Elephas maximus indicus: one gene and its partners. The protein of the gene in region 1 interacts with the protein of each later gene in a pairwise test. Links are inferred from orthologs where the notes say so. Each region holds a gene or a part of one and is shown in the gene's direction. Other genes may lie near its edges. The genes, in order: CEP63, HTT, integrator complex subunit 6-like and SMARCE1.

Evidence for each region.
Region 2: the proteins of CEP63 (region 1) and HTT interact in binary tests that used the Homo sapiens proteins (3 or more experiments, as listed by UniProt). The link is inferred for Elephas maximus indicus from reciprocal best matches to the Homo sapiens genes CEP63 and HTT.
Region 3: the proteins of CEP63 (region 1) and integrator complex subunit 6-like interact in a two-hybrid assay, tested with the Homo sapiens proteins (2 studies listed by BioGRID and IntAct). The link is inferred for Elephas maximus indicus from reciprocal best matches to the Homo sapiens genes CEP63 and INTS6L.
Region 4: the proteins of CEP63 (region 1) and SMARCE1 interact in binary tests that used the Homo sapiens proteins (3 or more experiments, as listed by UniProt). The two-hybrid records come from large-scale screens. The link is inferred for Elephas maximus indicus from reciprocal best matches to the Homo sapiens genes CEP63 and SMARCE1.

The regions. Positions count from the first base shown.
Region 1 is NC_064844.1:45,036,914-45,043,819, reverse strand, and holds the start of CEP63 (centrosomal protein of 63 kDa), read left to right. Parts: upstream 1-3,892; 5' UTR 3,893-5,490; coding exon 5,491-5,621; intron 5,622-6,906. UniProt on the Homo sapiens protein: Required for normal spindle assembly.
Region 2 is NC_064823.1:162,026,950-162,034,269, forward strand, and holds the start of HTT (huntingtin), read left to right. Parts: upstream 1-4,296; 5' UTR 4,297-4,461; coding exon 4,462-4,652; intron 4,653-7,320.
Region 3 is NC_064846.1:20,183,380-20,190,622, reverse strand, and holds the start of integrator complex subunit 6-like, read left to right. Parts: upstream 1-4,219; coding exon 4,220-4,330; coding exon of another isoform or gene 4,331-4,456; coding exon 4,457-4,534; intron 4,535-7,243.
Region 4 is NC_064837.1:47,751,757-47,758,628, reverse strand, and holds the start of SMARCE1 (SWI/SNF-related matrix-associated actin-dependent regulator of chromatin subfamily E member 1), read left to right. Parts: upstream 1-3,847; 5' UTR 3,848-3,902; coding exon 3,903-4,029; intron 4,030-5,985; exon of another isoform or gene 5,986-6,031; coding exon of another isoform or gene 6,032-6,038; intron 6,039-6,211; coding exon 6,212-6,255; intron 6,256-6,872. UniProt on the Homo sapiens protein: Involved in transcriptional activation and repression of select genes by chromatin remodeling (alteration of DNA-nucleosome topology).

The DNA.
Region 1 (6,906 bases):
AGTGTAACTGCACAATAGCCCAAACACTGGGGCAATAATTACACAGGTTGGGGTAGGGCAAGTTTTTTACTCTTGTAAGGATCCAGGCAAAACTGTGAAGCAAAAGGTGCCCAGCTATCTTTGCCACCAGTAAACTAGTTTAGGAAGATCGTAATATTTCACTTAAGAATTACTCCACTATACCGACAATGTCAATCAAGTTGAAAGAGCCTGTGTTTAGGAAATTTACACACAAGGCTTTTTCACTTTCGGTTCCAGTTATACCTGTGGAGTTGCTGTCCTCCAAGGGCGCTCCTTTGTCCTGCTACCACTCCCTTTGTCCTTTCTGCTCTGTTCCCTTCCCCCATGCCCCCCTCACTTTTCTCCACTGATTCAAACCTGCAGATTTTTCCAGGCCCACACAGATTTCACCATTCCTAAAATTTTCTGAAATCACTAGAGTTTTAGTTAATTTCTGTTCTTGCTTTTTGTCATTACGATCCACTAACCAAGTCAGGGCAGCATTGTGGCCCACTGATTAAAAAAATATTATCTCCAATTGTTATATATATAAATTTGGTTATTAATGACTCTTTGGCATACCTTTCCCCAATTTTGTTTCTATCGCTTTTCACCTGTTCCTCTCTCAAACACCTCCAATCCTGTCACACCTCCCAGCCCTTGCACTTATAGCCGCCCTTTCCCTATCACTAACTCCTACTTTTTTCCCCAATCTGGCACTGGATTCAACACCCCATTCCTGGGGTTAGGTGGCTTCACGATTAATGGACTGGAGAAGTGGGAAGCATCAATATAAGCATGTCTAAGACAAGCGGAAGGTGCCCTGGTGCCACAGTGGTTAAAGTGCTCGGCTGCTAACCCAAACGTCATTGAAACCAATGACGAACCCACAAGCCACTTAGGGAGAAAAATGTGGCAGTCTGCTCCCTAAAGAAACCCTGGATGCCTAGTAGTGGTTAAGTGCTACGGCTGCTAACCAAAGGGTCGGCACTTCGAATCTGCCAGGCGCTCCTTGGAAACTCTATGGGGCAGCTCTACTCGGTCTTATAGGGTCCTATGAGTCGGAATCGACTCGACGGCAGTGGGTTTGGTTTTGGTCTGCTCCCTAAAGATTACAGCCTTAGAAACTCTATGGGGCAGTTCTACTCTATCCTACAGAATCGCTGTAAGTCGGAGCGAACTGGAGGCAGTGGGTTTTTGGTATTAGGACACGGCCACTGTCCCAAGCACTCACCACACTCGACCGAATACACTTGGAATTTACTAAACAAACTTTTCTCTCCCACGCCTTTGTGCCTACACATGTGTTAGCCCTAACGCCTGGGGTGCTCTTTTCTCTCATCTCGGCTAAACCTCCATCTAAAAGATCAGCTCCAGGTAAGCCTCCTGCCGACGGTTTTCTCCCAGCCTGAGGAGAGCGCGACGCCCAACCCTCCGCGGGTCCTAGCGTCTCCCGGCGCATGGAGCGGCCACACTACGGGCTCGTTACGTGTCTTCCCAGAAGGGCGGCGCGCGTTCCCTGAAACACGGACACGTTTTACCCATCTCTCCTTCACGGCCCTGAGAACGTATTTACAGAATCAAGCAGAACGATCTTTCCTTCGCCAGAACCGTCCTCGCGGGTCACCACCGTCTACACCCCTGTGCGTGTGGCCGCTCCACAGCCGCGGCTTCCGGCCTGGGGCTGCACAGACCGAATACGGAGGCCGGGAGGGGGTCCCCCGCCGCCCGGACGCGCCTTTTCGCCCCACGAGGCGTGCGGTGCGGGCGGTAACTCCCAGGGAGAGAGGTAAGGTCACCGACTTCGGCCAACGGCAGACGGGGAGGAGACCCAACACAAAGAGCGAAGGCCTCCTCGCCCTCCCCAGACCTGGGCCGGGAGCGCGGGAAGCTCTCCCCAGCACCCAGCCCACCGCGGCCTCGCTTCCGCCGAGCACGCCCCTCTCGCGCGTTCCCGGATGTGGGTGAGCCCATTTGCGCGCGCAGAGGGGAGGTCCTGAAAGGACACTGTTTCAAGGAAGAGTGAGGGGGGAGTGGGCGGAACGAACGTGCTAACGACAGAGCCGGGACGTAGGGCTGGTGGGGACGCGCGTGCGCGTCCCCGGCCCGAGGTAACGGCGGGAAGGGTCGGGGGCGCGCTCGCGGTACCCCGGTAACCGCCTGTGCGCTTGGCGCAGCGGGTGAGGGGCGGGCTCGTTCGGAGGGCGACCTGGCTGCAGTGGTGCCGCCGGCCGCGGGGCCGCATGGCCCGGTCCCCGCCGCCGCCGCCCGCAAGCCGCCAAGCCCGTCTCGGCGCCCCTCCGCCCCCCGCCCCTCGGCTATGCTGCGCGCTTCCTGCCGGCCTGTGAAGGCGGACGTAGCGGCGCCTGGCGCGCGTTCCGGGCCCGCCAGGTGGTCAGCCTTGCTGGAGCCCGGCGGCGGGGAGGGGTGCTTCGGGGAGCAGTCGGGTGGGCGGGCCGCTGGCAGTCCGCTCTTCGTGGCAAAGGCTCCCGCGCGCTCTCCTCCTTACGGTGCTGGTCCCTCAGCACAACCCCTTACCTAGGCTGCTGGATAGGGGCGCATTGACCGGTAAGCAAGGTACACACGGGTTCACTTGTGTTTACTTCTCTGGAGTGCACAATTTCACCTGGCCCGTAGGTGAATAAGCACAAATTAATAATAAGCACAAGTAAGCCCGTGCGTGCCTTGTTTATTGGACAATCTGTCCCTGCTGCTGGATCTGGTTAGAATTTTCTAGCATTGTTGCTGATTTATTGCAGGTAGTACCGGCTCATGAATGGTTGGGTGGTTAACAATTTTAAAAAAGCGAATTCGTTTAAAAAATGCTAATATTTAGTACAGGAAGTACGAGGATGTGGCAAAATTCGGGAAGGACTGAAGTTGGGGAACCCTGAACTGATTGCTCCATGCGTGCAAGTCAGGACTGGGAACCACGTAAGAGTGGGTTAAAAACGGCGATTCCTTAGAAACACTTTAATCCTGAAAATAGAGACAGTAAATCTAGCTCGTGATGGGGTTTTTCTTGTGTCCCTGTAACATCAGGAGAGAAATATAAGGCTGTCAGAGACTAGTCTTTTTTTGTAATTAACAGTGCAGTACACTTCCATAAAGTAGTTTCCCCTGAGCACTTAGTTTTTGCGTCTGATTCCCTAAACCGATTTTTAAAGAAAGCTACTTTATTTCTTTAATAAAGCGATATTGTAGATTCCCATATTTGTACAGGTCCTTATAAATGCTCATGTTAGCATTTAGTTTTTATTTCATAGAGATGAAGAAAAAAACAATCCATTTTGGTGGAGTCAATCCCAACTCAGCGACCATATAGGATAGTAAAACTGCCTCACAGTTTCCAAGGAGCTTCAAACTTAAAACCTTTTGGTTAGCAGCTGAGCTCTTAACCACTGTGCCACCAAGGCTGTAGATGAAGAGGAAATCATGATAATGATCATCAACTACACTTTACCTTCAAATATTTACGTTTATACTTAAACCAAAACAAAACAAAAAAATGATCCAGTTCATCCCGACCCATGGCGACCTCATGTGTGTCAGAGTAGAACTGTTCTCTGCAGGATTTTCAATGGTTTATTTTTCAGAAGCAGGTTGCCAGGCCTTTTTTCTGAGGTGCGTCTGGATGGACTTGAGCCTCCAAACTTTCGGTTAGCAACCCAGCACATTAACCTTTGCACCACCCAGAGATTCCATACACTTAATAGCTAGAGCTTAATGATACAATAAAAAGTATATCTTTTCTTATGTGGAATACAATACTGTCTTTAATTTTTATCCTGAATTCAGAAGGTTTGAAAAAATTATTCATTCTTATAAATTTCCATTTGTTTCTCAAACTTGCTTGCTGCTTGCCTTTTGACTATGTCATTATCAGAGATAGGTATAATTTTAAAAAAGGCTTTAAACTAAAATGGATTAGAGATTTATAAACATTTGGATTGACACTGCCATTTAAAATGATGTAAATTCAGATGTAAAAAATTTGTGATAAGTATATATATTAATTGTACTGATGCCATTTTCCTCCACTTAAGAGGTAGAAGCCCTTAGCCTTATGGTGAGTAGTCCACTCTCTCATTAGATCATTCCTTTTTTTTCCAATGTTGACTTGTTCTGCCAAAGCCAATTATGACATAAGGTTTCAGGAATTGAATTTCTGATTTTTATGTTACTTACGGGTTTTTCCCTCCAAGAACAGAGGTTTCTTTTTTCGGTTTTACAAAACCATGATACTGTCATCACACCTACAAAATTAATAATTCTATAATGTCAATATCCAGGCAGGGTTCAGATTTCACCAACCATCCCATAAATGTCTTTACAGTTCGCTTGTTTGGATGAAAGTCTTGTAAAGATCTACCCACATGTTACATTTGGTTGATATACTTTTTAAGTCTGTTACAATCTTAGTAATTTGCTTTTCTCTTTCCCCTTTTTTCATTGCCATCTAGATTTAGCTGGTTGTAGCTATGTGGTATCCTTTAACTTGTACCTCTGTTATTTCTGCTAAACCATTAGATATAGAACTGCACTGTCCAATATGGTAACCACCAGCCAACTGTGGCTATTTAGATTAATTAAAATTAAAAATTTATTTCATTAGCTGCATTAGCCACATTTTAAGCCCAGTCGCCCATAATTTCCGTAATTGCATAAAGCTCTGTTGAAGAGCACTTACCTATAAGCTTGATCATATTCACCCTTGATTTTTTTCTTTTTTTGATGAGTGGGGGCAAGAATATTTTATAGGTGCTGCAGTGTACTTGCTATTGTATCATTGTCGGGGGGCAGGTAGTGTCTGAGTGGTCTCTTTTTGTGAACAGTGGGTTCAGGTGTTGTTAGCCCAATCCATTCATCATAAAAGCTCCTATGAGCGGTTCACCTGTTGGTAAAATACTTTTGTGGGTTAGATTTACTGTATCCATTATTGCGGTATTTTCTGTCAAGTTGATTCTGACTCATAGTAATCCTATAGGACAGAGTAGAACTGCCCCATAGGGCTTCCAAGGCTGTAATCTTTACAGAAGCAGACTGCCACATCTTTCTTCCATGGAGTAGTTGGTGGGTTCAAACTGCAGGCCCTTCAGTAAGTAGCCGAGCATTTAACCAACGCACCGCTAGGGCTCCTAATCATTGCATTGTTGTTGTTAGGTGCCATCCAGTCCTTCTAACTCATAGCGACCCTATGTACAACAGAACAAAACACTGTCTGATCCTATTATTATTGCATTAAAAAAAAAACCAAACCTGTTGCCATCGAGTCGATTTCGACTGATGGTGACCCTACAGGACAGGGTACAACTGCCCCATCAGAGTTTCCAGGGAATGCCTGGCGGATTCAAACTGCCGACCTTTTGGTTAGCAGCCATAGCACTTAACCGCTACGCCACCAAATTATTGCATTAGGGTTTGCAAAATGGTGATTTTGCAATTTTTTCATTATTTCTGTATTTATTAGGTGGAAATCTTTTATGAAGGATGACTTTCCCTCATCAGCTATTTGATTATCCTGACATACAGTTTGTACAGGAAAGGCGAGAAAAATGCTTACCTCTTTCCCTCTATTTTCAGACTACAGTAATGAGTCGGTGCCCTAGCAACTTCCAAAGGTAACCATGCAGGTTTTTGCTTTTTTTAATTTTTTATCATCATATACTCATAGATTTGAATATATTTTAACTGTTTTGACCTATTGGAATCATTGTTCTTTTCTTTGATAGTCAAATTGTACTATCTTTAACTAGCAGAAGTCCTTTTAAGTTGGCTCTTGTTCTTTTTGACATGACTCCAGTAGTCTCTGATAATTTTCTTGCTTCCTAGTAAAACATATTCCTGGTCATCTATACATTTCTGGCCTCCAAGGAGCCCTGGTTCCTTTTAGGTGGTCATTGGTTCTACGATTTACAGTAGCCAGAGCTAAAAGAGAAATGTACAGAGTTCACAATGACATTTCCAGTTTAATATTATAGATTTTTTTTTTAAATCATGTGTTTGATTTTATATTTGTATCTTTTTCTCTTGCTGAAAATCTTGGTACCTAATGTCATTAAATATTTCTTTTTTGCCTTATCCTATAATTATGTAATGGTTTCAAATTAACAATACCAATTATTGTTATTATTCATATTCATATAATTCATATAATTATATTATTATTCATATAATTCCCAAGTGGTGTTTAGGATTTCTTTGCAGTTCTTTTTTATCCTTAGTTTTTACTCCACTAGGGATATGTGCAATAAAATTATTTTATTAAAGGCATATGAAATAATTTAAATGGCAGGCTGCCAACTTGATATTTAGTTGATTCACTTATTTCATTTTGTTTCCAGCCTTTCAGTATTGCTTTTTAAAAATTTTGATTGGTTTTGTTATATGTAAAGCATTAATGTAGCTCCTATAAAACAAACCAAAAAAAAAAAAAAAAAACTCTTGCCACCTCGTGGGTTCCAGCTAATGGCAGCCCCCTGTGTTACAGAATAGAACTGTTCCATAGGGTTTTTGTTGCCTGTAATCTGCATGAAAGCAGATTGCAGGGCTTTTCTTCTGTGGTGCTGTTAGGTGGGTTGGACCACCAACCTTTAGGCTAGCAGTCGAGTACATACTGTTTGTGCCATTTGGGGACCTTCCTATAAAACAAAAAACAAGTCCCTGTAAAATAAGGTACATCCAGAGAAGTATAGCTTTCATCCTTGTTGCCTCCACCCTACTTGTTTTCCCTCCTGTGAGTAATCATTTTTAGCAGTTTTAGGCTTATCTTTCCATAAAAAACAAATATACCTAGAAGCAAATATATATAAAAGATAGTACTTACATGTACTCTTGCATCTTGCTTTTTTCACCTGTATGTCTTGCCATTATGTTTTTTAACTGCCACCGAGTCAGTACCTGACT
Region 2 (7,320 bases), on another chromosome or scaffold:
GTTCTGGACAGAGCTGGAGAAAAATGTAGAACAAAATTCTAACTCACAAAAACAGATCAGACCTACTGGCCTGACAGAGACTGGAGAAACCCTGAGAGTATGGCCCCTGGACATGACTCTGTACCGAAGTCACTCCTGAAGTTCACCAGCCAAGGATTAGACAGGCCCATAGAACAAACAGTAATACATGTAGCTCAACCATGTCTACGAGACTAAGTGGGCACACCAGCCTAGGGGCAAGGATGAGAAGGCAGAAGGGGACAGAAAAGCTGGATGAATGGAAATGGGGAACCCAGGGTGGAGAAGGGGACAGTGCTGACACATTGCAAAGTTGGTAACTAACGTCACAAAACAATATGTGTAATAGTTGGTTGATGAGAAATTAATTTGCTCTGTAAACCTTCATCTAAAGCACAATAAAAAAGTGGCTGCTCAGTTGCCAACCCATATCTCCTCATCCCTGGGCAGCGAGAAGATGGGCGCCCCCAGCGTGTGAGAGCAGAGAGTGCGCTGTAGAGTTTTCAGTGGCTGTGATCTTTTGGAAGTAGATCGCCAGGCCTTTCTTCTGACGTGTTTCTGGGTGAGCTCAAACCTCCAGCCTTTTGGGTAGCAGCCAAGCATGTTCAACGTTTGCACCACCCAGGGACTCCAAGATGGGTGGTGGTGGTTGCCGTCAAGTCGATTCCGACTCACAGCAACCCTATAGGACCGAGTAGAACTGCCCCATAAGGATTCCTAGGCTGTAATCTTTATGGAAGCAGACTGACACATTTTTCTCCTGTGGAGCGGCTGATGGGTTAGAACCACCGACCTTTCGATTAGCAGCTGACTGCTTAATCATTGTGCTACCGGGGTCCCTTCAAGATGGGTGTACCCCGCCCTTTTACGGAGACTTTCTAGAATAGCACCCATTGCTTCTGTTTTCATCTCCTTGGCGGAATTTATTTAGTCACATGGCTGAAAGGAAAAATGGGAAATGTATTTTAGCTAAGTGTCAAAGTGCTCAGCTAAAACTCGAGGTCCTGGAGTCCCCGCAAGGAGTCCTGGTGGCGTAGTGGTTGATCACCTGGCTGCTAGTTTAGAGGTTCGAACCCACCAGCTACTCCGCGGGGGAGAGATGTGATGTTCTGTTTCCATATAGATTACAGCTTTGGAATCCCTGTGGAGGCAGTTCTACTCTGTCCTACAGGGTTGTTCTCAATCAGAAGCACCTCGCCGGCAATGGCAACAAGTTGAGAGGCCCTGAGTGGCTCAAAGAGTTATGTACTCAGATGCTAACCAAAACGTCCAGGTCCACTCAGAGGCTCCTCAGAAGGAAGGCCTGTCAACTTACTTCGCAAAAATTAGCCACTGAAAACCCTGTAGAGCATGCTTCTGCTCTGACACGCGTGGGGTCAGCATGAGTCAGAGTCCACTAGAGCACGCTTCTGCTCTGACACGTGTGGGGTCAGCATGAGTCAGAGTCCGCTAGAGCACGCTTCTGCTCTGACACGCGTGGCGTCAGCATGAGTCAGAGTCCACTTTGACGGCAACTATTTTGTTGTTACTGTTTTTTATGACTAAAGAAGGTCAGAGTAGTTATTAGGAGGAAACTGTCTGACTTATCTATTGCCGTAACAGATCACCCCCGACATGGTGGCTTAAACAACACAGGCATTGTCTCATGTTCCTGAGGGCTGGGGATCCGGGCACCACTTAACCAGGTCCTCTGTTCCTTGGTCTCTCACATGCTGCTTCCCACCTGGAAGCTCGATGGGAAGGATCCACTTCCCAACTCATGTGGGGTTGGCAGGACTCACTTCTCCATCGGCTGTTGACTGGAGGCCACCCTCAGTTCCTTGCCACCTGGGCCTCTCCGACATGGCCTCTTACTTCATCAAAATGTGCAAGCTGAGAACGTAATAGAGTGCCAGCAAGATGGAAGTCACCATCTTCATGACCAAATCGCCGGAGTGACCTCCTATCACATTTGCCATATTGGGGAACAGTAACTGCCAGGTCCAGCCCGCACTTATGGGAGGGGAGCACACAAGGGCGTGAATCCTAGCAGTTGGGGGTCATTGAGGCTATCTTGGAAGTCGTCCTCCCCCAGCAAGTAACACATCATGCCCTGCCCTGGGTGGGAGCTGGTACCCCACCTGACACAGTGGACAGGGCCTTTATTAGTCTCAGGGAACAGGGACTGAAGTTTGGCCTCTTGTTTCTCTGCTGTCCTTACCCCAGGAAGGGGAGGCCATTGCTGTCCCTTGGGAACAAGGCTTCCTGTCCTGTTACTGGGTTTCCATTTACCTGAACACTTTGGGATGCTTGACAGGCTCTGGGAGAGGGTGGGGCTGTGGCTTGTGGCCACAGAAGAGGGAACACCGAGAGCAGGTGTGAAGGCATCTGAGTGTGAAGGCTTGGGTTGGCTGTACCTTGCTCTCCCTGAGGGGCTCCCTGTGGCCAGGTGGGAAGAGCTGCCCTCCTACTCCCTCCCTGTGCAAGCTCAGCTACCTCCCCAGGAGATAAGGAGTCCCTGGAGCCAGGACCCTCCAGCACCAGCCATCACCACCCTCAGCATGAGTAGGTGTCTCATAGACCAACACTGGAGAGAGCAGCGACCTCCACCCGCTGTGGAGGGGGTGCCCCTTGGGTGGGGGTGGGGGTCATTCCTGTAGGGGCATCTCTGCGGTGCCCTGATATACCTGTTCCAGGGGCTTCTCACTGCACCAGCCACAGCCTCTGAGCAGCACCGTTGACTGAGTAGCTTTACCACTTTACCCACCTGTACCTGCTGCAGGCCCGCTCTCCCCTCCTTCCGCCCATGGTGGGAGTCCTGGAAGGTGCCCAGCTGCTGTGGCGCCTGCCCTGCCAGGGCCTCTGCTTTAGGGGACGGGGGGCACCTGGGCTCCTCACCCCTGAAAGGCAGATCTCTCGGGTCCTCAGTAGCCACCGACCATAATCAGTTTTCTATGCAGCTGTTCCCCGTTCCTCCCGGCAGGGGAATGACCGGGGCCTGGCCAGCGAGTGCGCCGATCACCTGCCAACGTGGGGCGCACGGACCTCCCAGCCACAGCCGCTCTCGCTGCGCCGCCAGTCGTCGGGGGCGCCTTCCTGCGCGGGGCCGAGGGGGCGGCTCCCCAGGTGAGCAGAGCGGCCGGCGAGGCTGAGCCCGGGGAACAGCGCCCCCGGCCGGCCATGCAGGAGCCCGTGGCAAGGGGAAAACTCAGTAATGGCACTACTGTGTATTCGGATATTTTGTTCCCGATGGGTTTTTTGCATTAATTTCGATTTTCTTAAACATTGCCTAAGAATATTGTTTGTTTTCCGACGCCCCGTTCGTCCCACCTTCGTCCGGCAGCTAGAGCCGGAACCGGCGAGCGGAGAACGGGCAGCTGCAGCCCGGTGCCCCGGCGCCCTCCCGGCCCGCTCCCACCCGCAGCACTGCTGCCTCTCGGAGCCACGGCGGGCGGCTGAGGATGCAAAGGGCGCACGTTCGCCAGGCTCCCGGCACGGCGCTCGTGGGCTGGAGCTTCGCCCAAGAGGGTCGGCGCCACGGTCCGGGAGCCCCTGTTCGCGAGCCGGGCGGCCAGACCGCGCCGTGTCAGGGCGGATCAGAACCGCCCCGGCCGCTGGTCTCCTGTCTGCTTCCGTCCGGGCCCGGGCCCGCCCCTTCCGGAAAGCCCCGCCCCCGAGTCGGCCCCGCCCTCTCCCCAGCCGGCCCCGCCCCTGCTCTGCCCCGCCCTGACCCCCGCCCCCAGACAGGCCCCGCCCCGGCTCGGCCCAGCCCCTACCCGGACTGGCCCCGTCCTTCCCGCCCTCAGCCATGCCCCGCCCCCGGCTCGGCCCCGCCCCTACCCAACCGGACCCGCCCCCCAGCCCGGCCCCGCCCTCTCCCCGGCCCCGCCCCCGCCCCATCGACGTTCCGTACTCCTGGTTGCGCCCCGCCCCCCGACTTAGCCCCGCCCCCTCCCCTCGTTTTTTTCTCTCTCGTCCCGCCCTTTCCTCCGCGCTCCGCCTCCCTCCTTCATTCACTGCCGCCTGTCTCCATTCACCTCCCAACACTCCCCGCCCCCTCCCCCCACCCCCTGCCCGCCGCGCCCCGCCCCGTCCCCGCCCCTTCCCGCACGCCCCGCCCCGCGCCTTTGCGGGGCGCGGCGCTGGGTCTCGTGGCCGGAGCTCTCGAGGCTGCGTGCCTGCGGCGCTGTGGGCGGGCCGCCGCCTCGGCCGGCCATTGGCAGAAGCCGTCGCCGCGGGCTGTCAATCCCGCCAGCCGGCGTGGCCCCGCCTCCGCCGCGGAGCGTCTCGGTACGTAGGGAGGCGCGGGGGCTGCCGGGACAGTTCTAAAATGGCCGAGCGCCCCGGTTCCGCTTTTGGCTGCGGCCCCGGGCCCCATTCATTGCCCCGCTGCTGAGCGGCGTCGCGTCGCCGCGAGTCGGGCCCAGGGCTCCGGGAGTTGCCCCGGCCGGACGGGAGGCCGCCATGGCGACCCTGGAAAAGCTGATGAAGGCTTTCGAGTCTCTCAAGTCCTTCCAGCAGCAGCAGCAGCAGCAGCAACAGCAGCAGCCTCCGCCGCCTCAGCCTCCTCAGCTGCAGACGCAGCCGCCGCCGCCGCCCCCGCCCCCGCCGCCGCCGCCCGGCCCGGCCGTGGCCGAGGAGCCGCTGCACCGACCGTGAGTGCCGGGCCCGGCTCGGAGCGCGGGGCCCCTGCAGCCTCTCTTCCCGGGGCGGGACCTCGGGCGACGGCTCGGGGAGCGGCGTCCCTGCGGTCTGGGCCGCCCCGCGCGCGGCGAGAGTGGCGGCCTCGCAGCCCCCGGGAGGTTGGCACCTGCCCCCTCCTGCTGGGAGAGCCCAGCTCCGGCAGCGGGCCCGCAGCCCCTGCTCCCCCGGGGCCCCCTCTCTGGGGTCTCCGTCCTTCTGCGAGGGGACGTGGAGACTCGCTGGGGCCCCTCCTGAAGCCACCGAGGGAAGTCACGGCCCCAGGCTCTGGCCTTCCCTAGGTGATGAGAGTTAGGAAAAGAACTTGTTTCTTTTTATTTGCAAAAAACGGGGGTAGGGGTGATGTCTTAAGTGTGTCAGGAAGGGAACTTAGAGGAGTTAGAGACCACGTCCCGTTTGGCTTCCTCCAGGCCGCTTCCCTTCCTCTCCGCTAGTCCGAGAGGGAGGAGGGCTGGGGGCGCAGGGCACCTCGAGGGGAGCCCGGAATTGGCGCTGGAGTGATGTGGGGACAGTGGATGACATAATGGTTTAGGACGTCTAGGCGGGAGTGGTTGGGGGGGGCAGGGGCCTGAGGACGCCGTCCAATGGAGAGTGCTCTCCCAAGTGGCACTTTAAACAGCCTGTGACTTGAGACCGTATTCCCAGATTCTCCAGGCATTGCATTTGCTTCATGAATCGTAGTGGTAGTAACGTTTTTTTAAGCGTCACGTAAGAGACCCGCCGACGTAAGCTCAGGTGTTGGTCTGCAGGAATTTGAGCAAGTCGCGATTGCGGAGGAAGAGATGAGTTGCTTAGGTGGTTGTCGTTAACCAGTGGGAACTAATAAAGCCGACTTAAATATTAGGGAAAGTTGATGGTCTCCTTCGGGGACAAGGAGGACACATTGCCCAGGGAGAGACGGATTGCTGGGAGATGAATGAGGGGTACATTTTGCCAGTATCCTAGTCAAGCTTGTTAAAACGTGGGGTGTGTGTGGACCCCAGGGACATCTCAGGGGTGCCAGTAAACGAGCTGCTGTTTTGTTTCGTTGCTGACATTCTGTTACTCTTAGATAGGCAGGGATCTCCGCTGCCTGTGCCTGGGGAGAATTTTTCAAACAAAAAGACCATTGATAAACCCAAATCCATTGGCAGTTGAATCAGATTCTGACTCATAGTATAGGACAGCATAGAACTGCCCCATAGGGTTCCCAAGGCTGCACATCTTTACGGAAGCAAACTGCCATGTCTCTCTCCCTCAGAGCGGCTGGGGGGTTCAAACTGCCAACCGCTGAGTTAGCAGCAGAGCCTTAAGCACTGTGCCGGCAGAGCTTCTCAGACCATTAATAGCACCTTCTGATAGGACTCAAGGGCTTTTCCTGGAAGTGTCTGTGCTGAGTGTTCAGTAGGGGTTAAGAGCTACAGTAAGCTACGGCTGCTAAGCCAAAAAAAGGTCGCCCTTGGAAGCCCTGTGGACCAGTAGTCCCGCAGGGTCACTATGAGTCTGAATTGACTCGAGGGCAGTGGGTTATGGGTGCTGCAATTTTCAAGGAGCCCTCGTGATACAGCACACAACAACAGCATGCTGCAGTTCAAGCTTCTCTCTCACCTCCAGGTGTTTTATTTCTGATCTTGGTGTGTACAAGATAGCAGTCAACAGGAAAGAGTTTTCAGGAATCAGCCCCTTGAGGAGTCTTACTGTGTTAAGACTGATTCATTTTTAGTAACTTGTTCTTTATATTTCTTGTATGATCTTTGCTGTGTGTCCTGAGAGTTTAATTAGATAATGAGGATTCAGGGAGGTTATGTTGGATTAATTGTTAGAATAAAATTTAGAAAGAAAGAAATTATTTTTTTCCTTAAAACCTGTTTGAATATCCAGAGAAACTTTTTGACAGTTTGGCTTATCTCTGCAGCACATAATTTATAGTCACACGTCCGCATATGTGTGTATCTTGTGTAAAAGCGGGAAGCACTAGGCAGGGTCCTCGATGGGGAGGGATGGGGAGGAAGACCTCGCTGTTGTCCACTGGTGGCTTGTTCAAACACTTGGTCAGTCTAAACAGACGCCTTCTCTTTCTTATGCTGACTTGACAGGACATGAATTTGCTTATCTTCAAAATATGGGTAACAGAGGTTTCCTTCTCAGGCTGGCTTGACAAAGTAGGTAGATTTTGTTTCATTATTTTAAGGTAATGTGTGATTGATTTATTTTAAAAATCTAATCTATTATTTTTGTATAAGTAATACATTAAGATGATTAACAAATTCCACAATTACAAAAGGGTAATAATTAAAATATCTCCCTCCCACTCCTTTCTCCTAAGTACCTAACATCATCCCCGAAGGCAACTACTCTTAAAGTTTTTTCTGTATCCTTGCAGATATAATCAGTGAAAATGTTTAGACCTTAAATTTTCTTAAAGCAAGTGTTTTAGAATAGAAACTTAAAGGCTCTTAGCATGCTCTGAAATCAGCTGCCATAGGGTTTAGTTATAATTACTGTAAATAAAGTAAGTAAAGACCCTACTTCTAATGTATCTTGCTGTTGAAGAGAATAGTGATTAATTTTCAGTTAACAAACTCGCTGCTCACAAGTTTGGATCTTGGCATTTCTGTTTAGATGCTTCAGCTGAAAAATCTC
Region 3 (7,243 bases), on another chromosome or scaffold:
TGAAAGACAAAGTGAGCGGGGGGCCTCAGGAGGGCAAGTGACATATAGCTCCTCAGTCAACAAAGGAAAATATAGAACAGACCATGGGATTTGGCCAGGAGCAGGCCACTGGGGACCTCAGAGCAGTTTCCATGGAGTGCTGGGGAAACAAACCAGATTGCAGGCGCTTGAGGAAGAAGTGGGTGCTGGAGAAACCAGACAGTGAGCTTATACTCCCCTGGGAGCCATGAAAGGCTGGGGCTGGGAAGGGGTCGTGAGTAGGTTAAGTAAGGTCATTTTGTCAAGATGTGGTAATGAGGGTTCACTTACCGGCAAAAGATAGCAAATCTTTGGTGAGTGGCAAGTAGCTAAGCCCTGCCCCCTCCAAAGCAAAGCGTCTGCTGTCTGGTTGTGGGCTACATACATAAAATGTAAACATGGGGCCAAGTATGCTAACATTTGTTCTGAAGGGAATGAAGGCCTGGAGAGCGGTGCCTGGTAGGAATGCCTTCCTGAGATATGTCTTGTAGCCCCAGACCTGAGGTGGAAAGGTCTGGAATGGGGGAGTATGGTGAGGTATTAAAGAGAAATAAAAGCAGATAAAGAGCAGAGACATGAGGAAAGAGGAAAGTATTTTCAAGAATCCATGAGTTCAAAAAGCATGAGAAAACTGGAAAGACAGGATGGTTAGTGCAGGTCATAGTGCTGCAATGGAAAAAGAATTCCATCAACTGGCCAGTGGCCTGACAGTGGAAACAGGCCTGAAATTTGGGAGCAGCTGGGAAGAGGATTTAGCTGAGAGAGACAAACAGTGAGCAGTGGCTCAAAGAAGAGCTGCTTCACAAGGAAGCATGAATAGAACAAAAGGGGAGCTGCGTCAGCTCGGGAGGCGGGTATCAGGTCGAGGGCTTGGCCTGATGGCGGACTGGGGCCCAAACCTGGAAGGCCACAAGGATGGGGAGCTGGACCTCCCACTCCGCTTGGGTGGGAGCTGTCAGGCAGGGAGCAACAAGCAAGGCTGATGAACTGGAGGAGAGGAGCTACAGGCGATGTCTGAGCACCTGGGAAGACAATGAAAGGATGAAAGCCACAGCCTAGTCAACAATCTTGTTCAACAATCTTTTATTGAGCATGTACTTTGTATCAGGCGTAGGTTGTAGGCTCTGCCTGCTCTCAAGGAGTTTCCATTCTAGTATGAGAGACAAAGCCAAGCCATGAATAACCTATAACACAAGGTAGCTGATGTTTTACAGCAGAGAAAGATGTAGAAAAGGCTCTGGGGATTTTAGTGTTACTTGTGCCAAAAAAAAAAAAAAAAACCCTGTAATAAAGAGGTCTGCGCACACTCGGGCATAATACAGGGTCTACTTTCCTCCAGGAAACGAAGAAGAGAGGTTTTATGTTGAGGATCTGGGCTTTGGTTTAATTGGAATCAGTCTACAAATCGACTAAATGGTTATGGTTTATGTATACTGTCGCTTTTGTAGTTTCAAATGAGGCACGGATATTTTTCAGATTCTATATTTATATCATTACAATTCCATTTGAGTTATGCCAAAAAAGAGTCAATAACATGCCCTGATAAGAAAATAAATAAATACATAAAAAAGCATTCACCTGCATAGAGAGAGTATCTTTTCCCCAGAGGGCCATCCTGGAGGACCTGCATGTCCTTAACCACTGGGGCACTGCGTGACTGAAACCATTTGTGCTTCCCTAACGCTGATAAGAGTCCCTGGATGGTGCACCATTTAACATGCTTGGCTGCTAACGGAAAGTCTGGCAGTTCACGTCTACCCAGAGGTGCCTCAGAAAAAAAGCCTGGCCATCTACTTCCGAAAAATCAGCCACTGAAAACCCTGTGGAGATTAGACAGGAAGCTTAGGGGGCAGTGAGTTTATGTTAATGGGGGAGGACCAACTCAGAAAAGGAGGGTGGGAATGGTTGCACAACTCGAAGAATGTCATCAGTGTCACTGAATGGTACATGCAGAAACTGCTGAACTGGTATATGTTTTGCTGCATATATTTTCAACAACAACAAAAAAACCTATGGTGTGCAATTTGATTCTGACACATTTGGGGTCAGCATGAGTTGGGATCAACAACTGGCAGTGGTGGTGGAATACTGGTAAATTGTTTTTGAAAATTATTTTAGTAGTATTCACCTTGGAGGGTTTAAAAAAATCTATTATATATAATTTTTAACATGGCGTCTAGAAAGTAGAACTGCCCCCACAGGATTGCTAAAGCTATAAATCTTTATGGAAGCAGACTGCCACATCTTTCTCCCTTGGAGCAGCTCGTGGGTTTGAACTGCTGACCTTTTGGTTAGCAGCTGAACACTTTAACCACTGTGCCACCAGAGCTATACGTATGTGTAACATATGGAACAAAAAACAGAATGTGTGTGTTGTGTGTGTGTGTATGTGTATATATATATGTGTGTGTGTGTGTGTGTATATATATATGTATATGTATATATGGAAGAAGCCCTGGTAGGTACACAGTAGTTAAGCATTCTTCTGCTCACTGAAAGGTGGGTAGTTAGAACTCACCAGTGGCTCCACAGGAGAAAAGACCTGGCAATCTGCTCCCAGAAAGATTACAGCCTTGGAAACCCTATGGAGAAGTTCTACCCTGTCCTATATATATATAAACCCATTGCTGTAGAGTCGATTCTGACTCATAGTGATCCTATGGGACAGAGTAGGACTGCCCCCGTAGAGTTTCCAAGGAGCGGCTGGTGAATTCAAACCACCGATCTTTTGGTTAGCAGCCATAGGTCTCAACCACTGTGCCACCAGGGCTATATATATATATATATATATATATATATATATATATATATATATATATATATATACACACACACACACACATACACTGGGTATTTATGTGTACATATATTTATTGAATTTATTGAAGCCCAGGCTTACGTGTTGTACACAGCGTACTGCTAGGAATACACACCTCCATAATTAAAAACTGTGTTACATACAGCCAAGGAAGCGTATTCTGCCACTGACTGAGCATCTCGCCAGAGCCAGACCTGAGAGCATCCTTCATTGTTACCGTAACCTCGCTGGGCTGCAGATTCCTTTACTGAAAATTGAACACAATGCCATCTAGCGTACCCATTTCAAAGATTACATGAGGTTACTGTGGGTGCCTGACACTTCATAGGTGCTCAATAAATATGAGTTGAATCAGAATCTAGGTTGACAAACCTCCTGTGTGTAGACCCAGCAGCTAGTGGAATTATCACAGGCAGGCAGTACTTCAAAGCGCTCAATGAAACTGAAGAAGGCTGTGCATACAACAGGCTGGTTTAGGCAACTGTGTTTAAACTTAAAAAAGTTTCCTTCCTAAGTAGATATATGTGGAATGTGAGGCCAGCAGCAGACTACAAATACTGATGGGGGCAGGGGTGGGAACTAAAGGAATGCGAGTGAGTAGGTCTTGCCAGGAAAGAAGTTTGCAGCTTCTGAAATGTTTTGATCTTAGCCACTGGCACGACTGATCATCGAGTGCAGTTAGCAAAGCGTTTTCTGTGCAGCCTGTGCAACCATCTGCTTCTGTACTTGTGTACAACTGTTGCTCAAACTCTCTCTTCCTTTCGCACCATCATCTTTGAAGAGCAAGAGAAATTCCATCCCAAATACCCGAATTAATCATCGTAACAGCTTCCAAGTCCTATAAAGGAGTATCCTAGCGAGGGTCCTTAACTTTTCCCCTTACCTCCTGCCTAGGTTCAAACTTCAACTCCCAGGGTTCGCCCAAGTCCCTCCCCTTGTTCTGTCATCTAATGAATATGCAAATCTCACATAATTGGCAGCCAATGGCGCGGGTCCTGGTCACATGGTGCCCATGGTAGGTGAGCGGACAGAAGTTGTGTGGCGGCGAACAGAGAGGGCTCTCAGTCTGGAGGAGCACTCGAGTGAGCGAGGACGGATGCTCGGGCAGTGGTCCTGGCAGCGGCGGTGGCGGCAGTAGTGGTGGCAGGAGAGAGGAAGGGGGAGGGCCCCAGGGCTACACAAGCTTCCACTCTCAAGTTCCCTGGGAGGGAGGGGACAGTGGGGCTGCAGAGAACGGCAGCAGTCCCATCTGCCCCGGACCGTCTCCCCCTCTGCTTCTTGCTCCCTGGCTCGGCGAGAGTTGAGGGCTTGGGTCGTGCAGCAGGGCAGTGAGGACCAGAGGGCCAGGCGAGCGGGGAGCCGGAGCCAGGGGTGCCAAGGAAGATGCCCATCCTGCTCTTCCTCATAGACACGTCCGCCTCTATGAACCAGCGCACTGACCTGGGCACCTCCTATCTGGACGTTGCCAAAGGCGCTGTGGAGTTATTCCTGAAGGTAAAGGGAGGGGAGGGGAGAGGCAGGGAGAGCCCCCAGGGATGGGTCGGATTCAGGTGCTTCTGTAACGTCCGTGTCGCCCCCTCCCTCTTCCCTGCGCTGCCCTCCGTCATCTCTGCTCCGCAGCTGCGCGCCCGCGACCCGGCCAGTCGCGGAGACAGGTACATGCTGGTCACCTACGATGAGCCCCCGTACTGCATCAAGGTAAAGGGGCCCTCTGGGTGGGTGGGCGCGGAGGGGGCAGGTCGGCGGGGCAGCTTACCCCCGTCCCCCGCCCGCGGCGGTCCTGCGTCGCCCGGGGGCCGCGGGGGCGCGCCCAGGGCGGGCGGAGCGGCGCCGGCTTCCGAGTCGCGGCGGCGCGGGTGGGGTGGGGCCGGGTGGGCGGCCCCGCGGGGAAGCCGCAGGCGGGCCGGGTTAGGAGCAGCGGTGAGCGCCGCAGCCGCGGAAGATGGCGGACATTTTGCTTTTGTATGAGGCGGCGAGAGGAAGACTGAGGACGGTGCTGAGAGGGAGGGAGGGAAGGAGGCGGGAGGGAGGGCGGCGGCGAGGCGGCCCAGCCCCGGGCGCGCTCCGCACGCGCTGCGCCCAGGGGCGGGACTAGCGCGCGGCTCCGCCCCTGGCGGCTGGTGGCGCTGCGCGCGGGCTTTCCAGGGGCCTTAGCTCCGCCCCCGCCCCGCCCCGCCCCTGCCTCCCCTCCTCCGCCACCTCCCGCTCTTCTCGGCTTCTTAGTCTCCTTCTCCCCCCTTCCTCCTGCTCCCTCCTCTTCCTGCTGAGAGCGTGGCAGCCGGGCCACCGGCCTTCACCAAGGCTGCTTTTTCACTTCTGTCGCCTCCAGCCCACCCCCACCCAATGGCAATTCTGTCCGCCCTGCAAGCCTCCCCACGCCCAGACCCGGAGAAACGCCTTCCGTTGCTTCTCTGGAATTTGTCCAGTTACCCTAGTTACTGCTACTGTTTCATTGGCGATTCCAGCGGAGCCACGATGGGGTGGGGGCGGGATGCCAGTCAGAATCCACCCGGACTGAGCATTTTAGGGACCTGGCCTACCTACTTATATCGTAATGGAGTTTGTGTTAGCCACGTGGGGGGTTGTCCTGGGAAAAAGAAAGAGAGGGAGGGTTGGACTGTGCACAGTTCTTACTGGCACATTCCATGATTTGCTTCCCAGGGTTCTGACCTGCAGGAGAAAAGTAGGGGGGACTTCACTTCTGTGGGGTCGTTAACAATTTATGTTCCTATAGTGAGGAGATGAATGGCTTTGCCTGTGGTGGCCAGGTCAAATAGAGCGCAAATAAGATCAACCTGGCATCAGAGTCCTGCTTGAATGTTTGAACTTTAAAAATATTACTACCATAATCCTTGACGCCCTTTGCTAGGCATGTTTTTTTCTCAGAATTATCTTAATAGTGCTGAGGGGGCGCAGTCTGGATGTGTTGTAAGCCGCTTCAGCAGAATGAGGTGTTTTAATGATTGGAATCTGCCAAACTGAAGAGTTGGCCTTAGAGAGTGTTCCTTCAGAAAGAAGACTCAAGGGAGGTTAATTTTGTAACGTGTGGCTTCGGTTAACAGTTTGATTAATACGTTCCTCCTTAAAAGTGTTCTGGCTTCATTGCATTGTTACCGGTTTTTAATTTTTCTATTTAGAAAAATGGGAGTAAAAGTGACATCTTCCAAAATTCCATAAGCCTTTAAAAATGTCAGTTTTCCCCAAGGGTGTGACCATTTTTTTTCCCCGCATAGAAGAGCAGATGTTTGCATGTCCTAAGTCTGAAGGTCTACACCCTTTGACTACTAGCACAGATAAGAACCCACCATTTCTAGTGTGGATAATTGAAGTCTTGCTCTTTGATTTTAAGTAGTAAAAAGAATAAACTACAAAGAAGTGTGCCTTTCTTTTTTCTTTAAAGCAACAACTATTTAACATTTTCTGAGTGCCCAGATTGTAGATGGGCTTTTTTCTTTCTTTAAAAATACTTTTATTCTATAAAACTTAAATGGCAATATTTGCAGAATCCTTGAAAAAGAAGTCTCACCTCACTTTAATAACCACTGTCAAAGCTTCTTTTTACATGGCATCATAATCACACACACAAAAAATAAACTGTACATTTTACTTTGTATTCTGCTTTTTCCACCTATTTTATCCTATGAATTTTTCTGGGTTGCCACATAGTCTTCATACTTAAAATTTTTACTGTGTAAGTTATCTATGGTATTTTAAAGGCTCCAGATCATTCTATGAGCAGAGGGGGAAAAGCTGGGTTTTGTTTTTAGTGCAAATTTCATCCATTAACTTTTTATCTTGTCATTTTTTTTTTTATCTTATCTACTACATTTGTTAAAGCAAAAAAATTCTTCCAAATTGAATTTGATTTTTTTTCATATGTAGGTCAGACATGGGAAGATACTTTGCATAATGGTTTTATCATTAATAATCAGTTATCTTTGTAGTCTATGCTTTTCCAAGGTTATTCAGGTTTTTCATTTTAATCTTATATGATAACTACATGTACTAGGAAATGGTTTATGATTTTCATTATGTTCTTGTCATTTTGCTAATGGTAGGCCATGTTTCCGGAACATTTTCTTTTTCTGAGGCTCTTTTGACCGCTCCCCCCTGCTCACCCCCACCCCTCCCCGCAGCATGTGGTAACTATTTGTTCTTTTACATTTGGGGTCTAGCTAGTTTGGAAGGTTTGAAATTTTAGAACATCTGGTGAATTTTTCTTAAAACTTAGTCTAGTCTTTCACTTACTAATAGCTTGGAGCCATAAATGTCTGTTTTCTGTCACACTGGTTATCAGATAGGTCTTTCTTCAATTGTCAGCAGGCGTCTTAGTTCCCACTTAAAACTTCACTCTTTATTAGGATTCTGAGGTCCTTCCATCAGTGATGTTAGATAGGGTTTTATCTG
Region 4 (6,872 bases), on another chromosome or scaffold:
TTTTTTAAATAAGAGCCATCGTAGTGGATATGAAGTAGTATACCTCATTGTGGTTTTGATTTGCAATTCCCTAATGACTAATGATGTTAAGCATCTTTTCATGTGGTTATTGGCCACTTATATCTTCGTTGGTTGTTGGTGAAATATCTGTTCAAGTCCTTTGCTCATTTTTTCATTGGACTGTTTGTCCTTTTACTGTTGAGTTGTAATTGCTTATATATTCTGAACATTAAACCCTTATCAGATATATGATTTCCAAATGTTTCCCATTCTATAGGTTGTCTTCTCACTTTCTTGATGTCTTTTTCTAATTTTTATTGTGCTTTAAGCGAAAGTTTACAGATCAAGTCAGTCTCTTACACAAAAACACATATATGCCTTGCTACACACTCCCAATTACTCTCCCCCAATAAGACAGCCTGCTCTCTCCCTCCGCTCTCTCTTTTCGTGTCCATTTCACCAGCTTCTAACCCCCTCCACCCTCTCATCTCCCCTCCAGGCAGGAGATGCCAACATAGTCTCAAGTGTCCACCTGATCCAAGAAGCTGTCTCCTCACCAGCATCCCTCTCCAACCCATTGTCCAGTCCAATCCATGTCTGAAGAGTTGGCTTCGGGAATGGTTCCTGTCCTGGGCCAACAGAAGGTCTGGGGGCCATGACCACCGGGGTCCTTCTAGTCTCAGTCAGACCATTAAGTCTGATCTTATGAGAATTTGGGGTCTGCATCCCACTGCTCTCCTGCTCCCTCAGGGGTTCTCTGTTGTGTTCCCTGTCAGGGAAGTCATCGGTTGTAGCCAGGCACCATCTAGTTCTTCTGGTCTCAGGCTGATGTAGTCTCTGGTTCATGTGGCCCTTTCTGTCTCTTGGGCTTGTAATGGCCTTGTGTCCTTGGTGTTCTTCATTCTCCTTTGATCCAGGTGGGTTGAGACCAATTGATGCATCTTATATGGCTGCTTGCTAGTGTTTAAGACCCCAGACGCCACTCTTCAAACTGGGATGCAGAATGTTTTCTTAATAGGTTTTATTATGCCAATTGACTTAGATGTCCCCTGAAACCATAGTCCCCAGACCCCTGCCCCTGCTACGCTGGCCTTCGAAGCATTCAGTTTATTCAGGAAACTTCTTTGCTTTTGGTTTAGCCTGATTGTGCTGACCTCCCCTGTATTGTGTGCTGTCTTTCCCTTCACCTAAAGTAGTTCTTATCTACTATCTAATCGGTGAATGCACCTCTCCCACCCTCCCTCCCTCCCCCTCTTGTAACCACAAAAGAATGTTTTCTTCTCAGTTTAAACTACTTCTCAAGTTCTTATAACAGTGGTCTTATACAATATTTGTCCCTTTGCAACTGACTAATTTTACTCAGCATAATGCCTTCCAGGTTCCTCCATGTTATGAAATGTTTCACAGATTCCTCACTGTTCTTTATTGATGCGTAGTATCTTCTTGATGTCTTTGGATGTGCAAAAGTTTTTTTATCTTGATCAAGTCCAACTTATCTATTCTTCTACTTTACTCTTTTATAGCTCATGCTTTTGTTATCATATCTAAGAATTCGCTGTCAAATACAAGGTCTTGAAGATTTACCCCTATGTTTCTTCTAAGAGTTCTATGGTTTTAGCACTCACAATTTGGACGTTGATCCCTTTTTGAGTTAATTTTTGAATATGGTAAGCGGCAGGGGTCCAACTTTATTCTTTTGCTTGTGGAAATCCATTTGTTGAGGAGATTATTCTTTTTTCATTGAAAAACAGACTTGCACTCTGTCAAAAATCATTTGGTCATGGATGCATGAGTTTATTTTTAGACTTTCAACTCTATTCCATTGGTCTATATGTCTACCCTTGAGCCAGTACCACATCATTTTGATTATTGTAGCTTTGTAGTAAGTTTTAAAATCAGGAAGTGTGAGTCCTCCTATTTTGTTCTACAAGTTGCAATTTTAAATAGGTCAGGAAAGACCTTCTGAGAAGTTGGCAGACTGAATAAAGACTAGAAGGAGGTAAGAAACCATACCAGTCAATGTCACTGCTTCACCTTTCCCTTTTCATCATTTTTGTGCCACAACTCTCCCATTACAGTGTGGTTTTCCTAATATCTTGTACCTGTGGTTTTTCTTCAGAGGACTGCCTGGAGATGACACAATAGACCACGTGTCCTTGCACACACTTGACCAATCCCCCGCCCCCCAACCATAACCCTAAAGGCAGTGCAGAAATCAGGCTAGAGTTGCTTGACAAAGCCAAAGAGGTACGGGATCCCTGAGGAGGCCTTCCTGTATTTCACATTAATCCTTTACATGTTTCTGATACTTTTATATTAAAACAACAATTTCATGTACATTATTTTAACCACCACTCGAACTGCCTGTTATCCTTTGGCAATCTTTCCTTTAATCTTTCCCATCAATATGCTCTTCAATTTCATTAATCCCCATTCACGAGTACAAAAATATTGACTTTGCCTCCTTGTAGAGATACCCCATTCCCTACTGGCACACCCAGGACGGCCGAAGAGCAGCCCAAAAATTCAGTCACTCTAAATGTCAACACTATTGTCATTTAGTTGTCAGCATAGTAATAACAAGTTAGGGATCTCATTTGTTCCTTCTTCCTCCAAAGTGACCCACAACATCAGCTAGGTGTTTACATATCCAAGGAAGGGGCCGCTCACTCCACATGGTAAACCTACTTACTCGTGATTATGATTTTGTGGGAAAAGCCCAGGACTAGTTAATAAATCCGCTTCAAAACACATTTATTATGCACCTAATAACGGATCAGAAACACTGGTGGCATAGTGGTTAAGTGCTACGGCCGCTAACCAGGAGGTCGGCGGTCAGATCTACCAGGCGCTCCTTGGAAACTCTACAGGGCAGTTCTACTCTGTCCTATAGGGTCGCTAAGAGTCAGAATCAACTCGAAAGTAACGGCTTTTAATAACGGATCAAGCAATATTGCACTGGTAATACAAAGACGATCGAAACAGAAGGCTGAATCTTTATTTTCAAGGCCCTCATAATGCATCGAAGTTGACAAACACAACCTGATACAATGGGCTGAGTACAGGACTACAGTAAAGAAGTTATCAAAGTGCCATGGGAGTAGAGAGGAAGGATTATTGGAGGGAGAGCCCAGGACGGCATGAGGAACAGCCATTTGAGCTGAATTGAGAAGAACAAATGAGTTTAAGCTGAAGTGAGGGGCAGTCGTTCCCTGCGGAGGGAACCAAATGAGCCAAGGCACGCTTTGGCACAGAGACCAGTGGCACCCCGCGCGCTGCGTCAAAGGGCTTAACATCTCTGGGTCTTGTCTCAGAAAACTAGCAATTACACCATAAAAGCGCTTGAAAACGAAAACTGAAAAACTCCGTGGAAATGAGAGGCAGCGCTTTTTCGTCAAGGCTAATGCCCGGACGTTATGGCAGGAAGACCCGAGAATGCCTGTGAGGACGTAAAACTCAGTCAACAGAGTCCTCTCCGGCTCCATCCTCGGCTTGCGTAAGTATATACTCTAGCCGAAGAAGCAAGAGAAAAGAAGAGCCTATGGAGTGAGCGCTACCTGAGCCCAGCCGGGTGGTTCCGGAGCCTCACGCCCCGTCGCGATTCCCGCGGTCCTCCGACTAAGCTGAAGCCACGTTCCCCGCCTCCTCTCAGTACGGCTTCGCACCGCCCGCCGCGTCACCCGACGTTGCAGACGCTTTGATTCCTCCCAGCAGCGAAATCCGGGCCTATCCCGCGGCCGAGCCGCCTCCGCCCTTTCCGTAGTGACGAATCGGCGCCTGGCTGGGAAAGTGCCCAAATTAGAGAACTTTTGAGGAACTGTGAAGCCTTTAAAAATCAGGAATTATACTAAACATCACCAAGCCCACTATGGAAGCTTTACTTCTGTAGAGAAAAGCGGGTGATGTCTGTAAGTAAATTACGAAGAAGTGTCGAAAGTGCGAGTACGGAAGCTCGGCGCGCGAGGGGCGGGGCGTGTGCGGGACAAAGGGAAGCGAAGCTGAAGCTGCGGGCGCTCTGCTTGCCCGCGGGTGAGTGTTTTGGAGCGGGCCCGACCGGGTTGGGAGGGTGGCGAGCTGTGATGTCCCCGCTTGGCTGGACCCCGACTTCCCAGGGGTTACCCGGGTTTAGGTTTGGCAGCGGAGCCAGAGGTGGGGCCGGTTGCGTCCACTCTGAGGCCTAGCGGTGTGAGGATTGGTAAGGAGTCCCGTCTGTGGGTTCTCCTCAGCGGCAGCATTTGCCCTGTCCAGTAGCCCTCAGGAATTGACCAGAGCACTTACGCATACACCCCTTTAGTTGAGTTGCTGGTAAAGTGCATTTTCCCCGACAAACAAAGGAAACGACTTCACAGGAAGCTCTCGGAGCAAACCGTGCCCCTGGTCCTCACTCCCAGGAGTGTGGTTCCTCTTGGTCCAGGCAACGACGTGGTAATTTACGGTGTGGCTTGGAGTGAAGAGCGAAGGCTCTGAAACAGTTTGGCCTGGGTTTGAAACCCAACTCGAGTACTTCCTGGCTGTGTGGCTTTTGACAAGTTACCTAAATTCCCTAAGAGTCCCTTTTTTTTTTTTTAATTTGTAAAATAGGGATAGCAATGAACGTTTCGTAAGGTAGTTGTAGCTATTAAACAGGAGAGCGTAGATGATAAGCTTATCCCTTATGAGGCATTCATTCAACAAATACTGAGTATTACGTGCCAGACCCTGGGATTGAATCCAGTGGCAAACAAATGTACAAGCCCACTCTTAAAATTTGTAGCCTAGTAGGGGAGATAAATAATTGCAAAGCATTAACAATAAAGTGATGTACAAGCAGTTTGTGGCAGTTGTCATTAGGGCTCCCCGGAACAAGGCCTACTGGGTGTTGACAGCTCCCTGAATGTGAGCAGGAGGGAAGTCTGGACCAATAGTTTCTGCCTGTTTTTTAAGGAAAGAGAGAGAGCCAGGAGGGGCCATTGATAGAATAAGCTATTTCCATCCACATCAGGCCTCTTATTTCTTGTACTCTAGGGAATTCCCCTAAAATGCAAACTAGGACCAAAAAATCATGTTTGTTTAATATAACGTTTGGATGAAAGTGCACCAGTAGACATAGAAGTTTATTTGCCTTTTTTTTCTAAAAATGAACTTTTCGTCTCTTTGTACTCTACTCTTTGCGATGTGTACTGACGTAAGGAACCAGCCCACATGTATATGGTTGTGTTGTGAGCTGGTAATCCCAAACAGCACATAATCTGGTCATATTGACAAATAAAAAGTGAGATAGAATAAACAATATCAGAGATTTATGTAAATTTGCCAGGAATACTGAGGAGGGTGCAATTAACTCTGCCCAGGTAACTTACTTGGAAGGCTCCATTGAGGAGTTAAATCTTGAAAATGGCTCTGAAGGACGAATAAGAGTTTTTCAGGTAGACTTTCAAAATTTATTCTCAGCAGTTATGAAGCTATTTGCCACTATGAGAGAATGCTACAGCTCATTATCATACCAATTACCTTTTGCACAGCCTCCAGGAATAAAATACAGTGCTATTTTATTGGAAGTTTGTTACCTAAGCAAAGGTAGAGCTCTGATAAGGAAGCTGTCAGTATCTGCTAGGCCTTGTTGGGGTGGGCCCAGATAATACATCACATTCTATTGTCATCTTTTTATCAGATTGTTTACATAGCATCAGCAAAATGTTTTCCATACAAAAGGTGGCTCAGTGTCATTAAAAAAAAAAAAAGCCTAAGGGTACATGTCTAATATTACTCTTAATGTCCCTAGTGATTTGCTTTAGTCATTTAACTCTGATCAACCAAATGATCAACAATAACTAGTAAAAACGATACACAAAAGGCTTGATTACTAGCAGATAAAGAGAACTAATTTTACTCTGAAATACCAATTAAACTACCCTATTTTTTAGGAAAACATTCTCTTATGCTTGCTGAGTTTTGATTCTCTTTTTTTTTTTCTTTTTCTTTTTTTTTCTTTTTTTTTTATTTTAGTGTCTCAGATTCATTCTTAAGGAACTGAGAACTTAAATCTTCCAAAATGTCAAGTAAGTTTCATTTTTATATTTATCAATCTATGTTAATAAGAGACTAATGCCCTAGCAAATGGGAATTCCAAAATACTCTCATTTTTTTCTTCAAAACAGGACCATTGGTAGTTTTGTTGCATAGTGTTATATCTCAGTTGTTTACAAGAAGTTATTTATTTTCTTTCAAACAGAAAGACCATCTTATGCCCCACCTCCCACCCCAGCTCCTGCAACAGTAAGTTTTAATTTTCTTGTTAATGTAATAGCCAAGTCTGGCCTTGATACAAAAACCCAGATGTCTTCCAGTGACAGTCACTCAATCAACACAACAACAGTATGAGAAAGTCAGCTAAAAAAACAGCACTTCCTACTAAATAGAAAAATAACTCTTTGCATCTTACCTGGAACCAACCCCAACATTTAAAGAAACATACTACCAAAATTCTGATCTCTTATGCTCACTTTTTTTCTTCTAAACGGGAAATAAGCGACAAGTTTAACACTTCTCCCTTATTAATCTTTATTATTAAGAGTCTTTAAAGTTGATATTGAGTGAATGCTCATTCTGGCTTTTTTTTTTTTTTAAAACCTAACCTTCAATTGGTTATATTTTTCTCTCCTCTTTTGTCTATACGTAATTTTCGTATTAAATCAAACAATAAAGCTTCTAGTTCTACAATAGCACTCATTGTAAATCTTTATTTTCAAGCTGTTCAAGTAATGATTTTATAATCTCTGGGTCAGATCCTGCTATTTTATTCCACTTTATGAATAATATCTTTTTGTTTTGGGAATTGATAAGTTTCAAAATGTCTAAAGAATGAATAGTTGTGAAGTAATTTTTTTCACCCA